Danio rerio: one gene and its partner. The protein of the gene in region 1 purifies or fractionates together with the protein of each later gene. This does not show direct contact. Links are inferred from orthologs where the notes say so. Each region holds a gene or a part of one and is shown on either strand. Other genes may lie near its edges.

Evidence for each region.
Region 2: the proteins of ift20 (region 1) and ift57 purify together in Homo sapiens (affinity purification with mass spectrometry; 3 studies listed by BioGRID and IntAct, counting the BioPlex papers as one, with this or other methods). This does not show direct contact. The link is inferred for Danio rerio from reciprocal best matches to the Homo sapiens genes IFT20 and IFT57.

Annotation. Positions count from the first base shown.
Region 1 is NC_133190.1:26,254,690-26,257,883, reverse strand, and holds the end of ift20 (intraflagellar transport protein 20 homolog), read right to left. Parts: intron 2,689-3,194; exon of another isoform or gene 2,685-2,688; 5' UTR 2,645-2,684; coding exon 2,518-2,644; intron 2,408-2,517; coding exon 2,322-2,407; intron 2,253-2,321; coding exon 2,149-2,252; intron 1,350-2,148; coding exon 1,268-1,349; 3' UTR 661-1,267; downstream 1-660. Other genes in the region: tmem97 (sigma intracellular receptor 2), read left to right, coding at 213-487. UniProt on the Homo sapiens protein: Part of intraflagellar transport (IFT) particles involved in ciliary process assembly. May play a role in the trafficking of ciliary membrane proteins from the Golgi complex to the cilium.
Region 2 is NC_133177.1:45,216,238-45,220,077, forward strand, and holds part of ift57 (intraflagellar transport protein 57 homolog), read left to right. Parts: intron 1-345; coding exon 346-436; intron 437-2,845; coding exon 2,846-2,914; intron 2,915-3,789; coding exon 3,790-3,840. UniProt on the Homo sapiens protein: Required for the formation of cilia. Plays an indirect role in sonic hedgehog signaling, cilia being required for all activity of the hedgehog pathway.

The DNA of each region.
Region 1 (3,194 bases):
TCTTTTTGCATTTTTAATTCACTAAGATCTAGCTGTTGATTGGGAAGTGACCTAAAGATAAAGAGGAGATGCTACTGTCTATAATTAAGTTGGTATTGGGATGGGTTCTAATAAACATGATATTGGTTTAGATGCAGTGAAAGTAATCCATTGTCTTCTACTAGCTAAGGTCATATTATTCCAGCTAATTATTGTGCTCGTCTGTTTAATAGGTGGCTGCAAATGGATCAGAACTCCAGCCATAATTTATTCTGTTCATGTGGCCACCACTCTGGTCCCAATTTTAAGCCACATACTTTTCCACAAGTTTCCTTTGAGTCCACATCCGGGACCCCAAACTTTGAATGAACGTCTGACCCTGGTGTCCATTTATGCTCCGTACCTCATCATTCCCATTATGATACTGCTCACCATGCTCTTCAGCGCAACTTACAACTCACCATCTCTGAAAGGAAATGCTCCCTCAAAGGCCAAGAAACAAAGATAAATGCCAGTTCATCTTTCTACACCCTAAATTAGAGCACAGTATGTATTGATCAAATCCCAACAGGGTTGTTAGTAGTCATTATTTGATAAACGTGATTTAATATGTGCCAAATTTCTCAATTATATGTGACCATTTTTTAAGCTCTAGAAATTGTTTACCGATGACAGCAGATGTAAATGCAAAATATATTTTTATTCAAATGTTCTTCAGATCTTTATGAGCTTTGCCCAATGTTGAGATTACACATGGTAAATGTAAACAAGTAATAAATGAACTTACTTTTCCATAACTTCTACTGAAATTATTTTGGTTTGGTCCCAATAAAAATATCATGAGGATATGATATAATAAAAACGACATGGGTTCAAGTCTCAAACAGGAGTTGTAATCATACAGAAAACAATAGATTTACCTGAAGATGTCACATGATGGAATTATTTACAGTAACATGCAAATACTGTATTTCCCTATTGTAAAAAAAAAGATCAGATTTACAAACTAATTTTCATATAAATAGTATAAATAACATTTGTATATAAATAGTTTCATCTGAGATTATGATCTATGGTTGGAAAGATTACAAGGATGTGCCTCCAGGAACTGGCCATGCAAAAGCACTCAATGCTGTGAGGTTGAGGCTGAAACAGACGTCTGTTGTCTGCCATAACTGCTCAATTCAGTTCATCTAGTTTGAGACCTTGCACTTATTAGGAAGTCAATGTGAATCAAGATGCATAGCATCATTTTTCCTGTCCAGCAGAGAGAGGAAACACAGTGCTCTTATTTCTGCAGTATAAACTGATCAATGAATTCACTCTGCTCAGCTTCCACTTTCTGAAGAGCTTCATATTCTATTCGATACCTGCAAAACAAAAAGACTTTTTAGTCTTGAAGAGAAATTCAGAGCATAAACACAATGCTGTTCACTACTTGAAGTGGCTGTATGCAACATTCAGAAACCCTTGTCATAAGCAATATTGGTGGCCTAAAATGAACGGCATACAGTTCTGGGCAGATTACTTTGAAACTGTAGTCAATTGCTGATTACTGATGATCATGAAGAACTGTGGTTCATTTTAGGTAATGGTTTATGTATTTCAACTACTTTTAGATTACGAACTTTTCACTTACCAACTGATGTAACCACATGTTTATTTTGCTAGCACGCTGAAATTAATCTGTGCTCTGAATTAGTCAATTCAGTGAAAAAGATGTTCAGTGTTTTGATATTCGTTAATTAAATTCTGACCACTTACTATCTACACCTCTGATTACACAAGTTTGGGTGATATATGCTTAACCACGCCCCTCCAACAGTTACTTTGCTGTGAGTGAAAGATAAAAGGAGGAGTCCAAAATGTATGTATGTATGTAAGTATGTTTCATTATTTTAAAATGTTATATACTTCAATTCCAAGTTACAACCTAACTTTCAGAATCTGATTACGTAATGCAGATAACATGTATTTAGTTGCTAACTAGCACTGTGCACATGCCAATGCAAATGCTGTAATAGATTTATGGTGATGCTCTTTCTTTTGTTCTCTTTTAGAAGTAACAAGTTGGAAATTACCATGCAGTAACTGAAAAATGACTGAAAAATAGAACTGAAGAAAAATATCAGACCATAATGATGTATTATGATGTATTATCATATTTACCTTTCCAGTTGCATTTTCTTCTCTGCAATCAGAGCCTGAAGCTGTTGCTGCTGGGCTTCCCGTTGCTTTTCAACCGATTTCAGCAAATTTCTTGCCCCTATGGCCTGAAGGTGAACCATATATAAATACAAAACGCAAATATGCACTGCTAATAGTTTAAAACAACAACGTACCTTCATTTTTTCAGTTTCGGCTTCCTTCGCAAGTTCATCCACAAGTTCAATAAGTCCACCTACAATTTTCTGAAACTGTCCGATCTCTGTTTTCAAAAGCAAAAGGAGAAGTTATTGATCTGGACTGCAAAAAGCAAAGAAATTCAGTTAAGAGAGATAAACTTCACAATGAGATTAAAAAATAAAAAACACTTACTGTCGACAAACTCCTCACATTCCTCTTTGAGCTCAGTTGTTTTCTGGCTCACATCAGGCTCAAGTACTCGCAGTTTGTTGAGCTCATCAAAATGAAGACCAGCCTCTGCTAACGGGTCTTTAGCCATGACCAGAGGACCGTAACCTGCCTGTGTGACTCAATAATGGCTGATAATTATACAGAAACAGAAGTATGTTAAAAGAAAAATATGCATAATTTTATTGTATTCAATACTGACAAATACAGTGTTGATTTTGCAAAGTAAAATGTCTAGACGTGCCAGTATTCAATAATATATCACAACGATAATGAACATACATGCTTTATCACTTTAAAATAAGTAATAATTACTTATTGTTATTGAACTTTCAGAATGCATTTTAAGAATATTCAGTTTGCTGCTTTTGCAATGATGTTCTAAAAAACTTTTTCGCGTTAATCTGATGTACAACATGGCTAAAATGTCATTTAATTAGTTTGAAACGATGTTTTGCTCTGAACATTTATATACCAGCAGGGCCGGAGTGGGACTGCTTTTTAGCCCTGGAGTTTCAAGCCTTAGACCGGCCCACCTCAGTTCACGACTGACTATATTAAAATAACGTCATTTCTAATTTAGTTTCTAATGACAATATACAATCTTTTTCAAGGACACAGCTGCTTTAGAAGTTCAAATG
Region 2 (3,840 bases), on another chromosome or scaffold:
CAAATTTAACTAGTTTATGTTGACTAAAGCATCTGATACATTTTATTTTATTTAAATAGTATTCGCTTTTACACAAATCTAATCTATATTTTTGATTCTGGATACAAATGCTTTTATATGTAGGCTCCTGGAGGCTTTGTGTTTGAAACATCCTCATAATAATAAAAAATAAAAAAATTGCATGAAGTGACAAAGTTTAAACCACACATATGAGCTTACAACAGGTTGAGATCATTTTCTATGGTGGTTTAGGGGCACAGAAATCTTTTAGAACCACGAATTTGTCTAACTGTCTGTTCTTACTGTATACAAACACATCTAGAGCTTGTATTCTCTGTCTGTCAGGCCGCTGTACCCATCAGTGGAGGTGGAGGATGAGTGTGTGCAGGAAGATGATGCAGAACTCACACTCAGTAAAGTGGAAGAGGAGATGACAGTAAGTCACTCTTAATAAAAAAAAATCAGCCTGAGGTATATTTGATGTCTGTCAAGATTTACTGTTAGAGAAGTGGTTTTATTGTAACTTGGACTGAGTAACTTAGATCAGGATTTGTGTAATTATATTAGTAGTTACCATTTGTGATCAATAACAATTAAAAGGTCGAAATGTATGTGAAAGAATTTTCCATCACCATTCAGCGAGTAAGTTTACATTGACACCAGTAATCCGATTTTAATATAATTAAAACAATACTCTGATTAAGAGTCATGCAAACAGCGATTTTTGATTACTTTAATCTGATAAAGGTCATAATCGAATTAAACAGAAATCAGATTAAGACGTGTGGAGTATGCTGATTTAAGTCGCGTTATTGAAGTGCAGCACAGACATGTAAACACCACAATCAAACTATTACCATCGTGTAGGATTTTTGCCACATTTTGCAACAGGATAGTCTATACACTAGGGCTGCACGATTCAGGCTAAAATGAGAATCACTATTTGTTTTGCTTAAAATCAAGATCTTTTTTCAGATTTTCTCATGATTCTGTAGATGTTAAATAAAGGTTAATATGAGTGGGCTATTATTCTTGCTAATTCTCAAACATATGGAATAATAATAATATTAGGTCTATTAGGTCTACTGTTCGTTAAAATGCTAAATTTTGTATAGATTTGGAATGATGGACTTGAACAGTATTTAAATTTGCCCTGTTTGTTCATTCACAGTAAAATGATCACATCATATTCATGATTCTAAAGTTGAATTATTGTGTTTGAGACATATGCTTATCATTTATCATTGACAACATTAGACCATTTTTAATGAAACATTTGTAATTATCAGAGACCCAGTAAACATTTATTTGCATGCACAACTCTTTGTGTTCGCTATGAAAGAAAAAACATGAAATACTTGTTGTAATCATAACTTTAAAACACAATATGATCATTTAAATGATGTGTGTGCCGGTTTCAATTTCACTTATGAGTGCGGCTCATGGCCGCTGCCACTGTGAAAAAAACACACACATGCAAATCATATTTCCTGTGCAGCTCCCAAACAATCGCTCTGAGCAACAAACTGAACGTTATTTACAAGTTTATTAAATGTTATTCACATGCAGGTTCTGTACACTAAAGTAGGCATCATTGGCGGACATGCCCTCTCGGTAGTAAACAAAGTGAACATGCATGAAATGTTCCCGAATGAAAGTGAAAGTGCCAAACTGCAGTTAAAGTCAACACATTAAAAACAAAACATCCAAAATCACATGAAACTCTGGAGGAAACGTGGATATCGTAATGAAGCTAATCAAATTGTGTGCTGTAACATGTAAAACAGGATCATTAAAGGAACATGTAAAAAGCAACTCACGTAAACATCTTAATCATGTTATTGTCTTACTCGGATTTGATTACTGATGCCCATGTAAACGTAGTCAGTGTAACAGATCTCTACTTATTAAAATATATAAAAGACTAAGTAATCACACACAATTTTATTGTAGTTTTAATTACAATTTTCTTATTGACAAATGGATAAAATCCAGTGGTTTAAATGACACTGGCAAAGTATAAAAGCTTAAAATGACAATTAATTTATATTTTGAAGCAGCGATTTATTCCTTAAGTAGAGCATTGTATTATGTCATTAAATGAGTCTTGTTCTAAATGTACCTGACAACATTTTTTTGGTATATAAAAAGTCACTAAAACATTTTAGTGGTGTCTGTTGTAATTTGTGGTTCCAATATGTGATTTTCATTTTTGCTCAGAAAAATAAAGGCCATTTATTGCAAAAATGATCAATTAAAATAATTAATATCAATATTCTTCTAGTATACATAATCCCTTGCTTTGTGTGTTTTCTACATCAAATGATATTTAAACAGAACAGTTAATATAATAACCTTTATTTAACCAGGTAAGTCAATTGAGAACCAGTTCTCATTTACAATGACGACCTGGCCAAGAGGCAACAAAAAGATGCCGATGCAGTACAAAGTAGTAGAGACACAATACAATAACAATTTCACAAATGCAGATAATAACATATAAAACAAACAAAAAATCTAAAAACAAGCACAATGATCTTGATCTATTGACTGGATAAAATTTTTAAAAGATGATAGCGGAATGAAAGTGCTGAGCTTTAAGGTCTAATTAAATGTTAATAAAATAATAATAAAAAGTTAAATGGAATACAATTTGGCAGAATGTCTATGTTGTGATTATGTTTCCACAACAAAAATAGAAAATATCATATAAATGCTTATTAATATATATATAAATCACTACTAAGGTGAAATGCAGAAAGACATGACATTGAATCACACAGACTCATGTGTAAAGTGAGTGACAGTGACTCACAGACACACTCATTAAAATGTGCATTTTCAGCAGGAGGATGAGGAATATGAGGAAGAAGATGGACTGGATTTAGATGCACTGAAGACCAGAACCAATGGCGTAAGTCTTGTTTGAAAAATACATTTTACACAAATACATTATGCAAACCTGAATGGAATATTCCTTATACTAAGTTAGCAGCATCAACTCAAGCTAAGAAAATGAGTATACTACGTATTATAATCTATACAGGATTCATACGGTCATGGAAAAACCTGGGAAAGTCATGAAATTTAGACATAGCAACAGAAAAACTCAAAGTTTTGAATAAGTCATGAAAATTAGTTTAACAAATATCTGTATACTTAATTATAGGTTAGTTGTCTACTGTATACTTTTTTCTGTCTTTGGCCAAAACATGTGTAAGCATTAAATAAACTTTACATAGATATAAAATTTAAATTAAACTTAATAGATTGTTGCGTGTGGGTGACATGGTTGCATAGCAAGAAGGTCGCTGGTTTGAGCCTCGACTGGGTTAGTTGGCATTTTTGTGTGGAGTTTGCATGTTCTCCCCGTGTTTGCGTGGGTTTCCTCCGGGTGCTCCGGTCCAAAGACGTGTTGTAGGTGAATTGGGTAAGCTAAATTGTCCATAGTGTATGTGTGTACTGGTCCTCCAGGTTGGGGGTTTGGGGTCTAGTTTTACCTTATAAAAACTAGATGTTACGAAACACCAATATGGTGCGGCTAAATATCATCTTCGATATAAATGGCCCTGGGAGTAAGTAAGTAAGATTGTTGCGTGTTTTATGATGTGTTAAAATAAATTTGAAAGTGCAGTTTTTTTATTATATATTATCTATGCATGCGTAGACATTACATGAAACATTAGGTCATAAACAGTTTATAGAAAAGTCATGGAATTTTAGTAGTAAAAATGTGTATGAACCCTGTATGTAAAGTGCTCTATAACTAGTAGAAGTGTGTGTCTTTAGGAGCTCAGTGGTTCGAGGCCTGCAGTGGTTTTGGAGTCAGATGTTGATGCT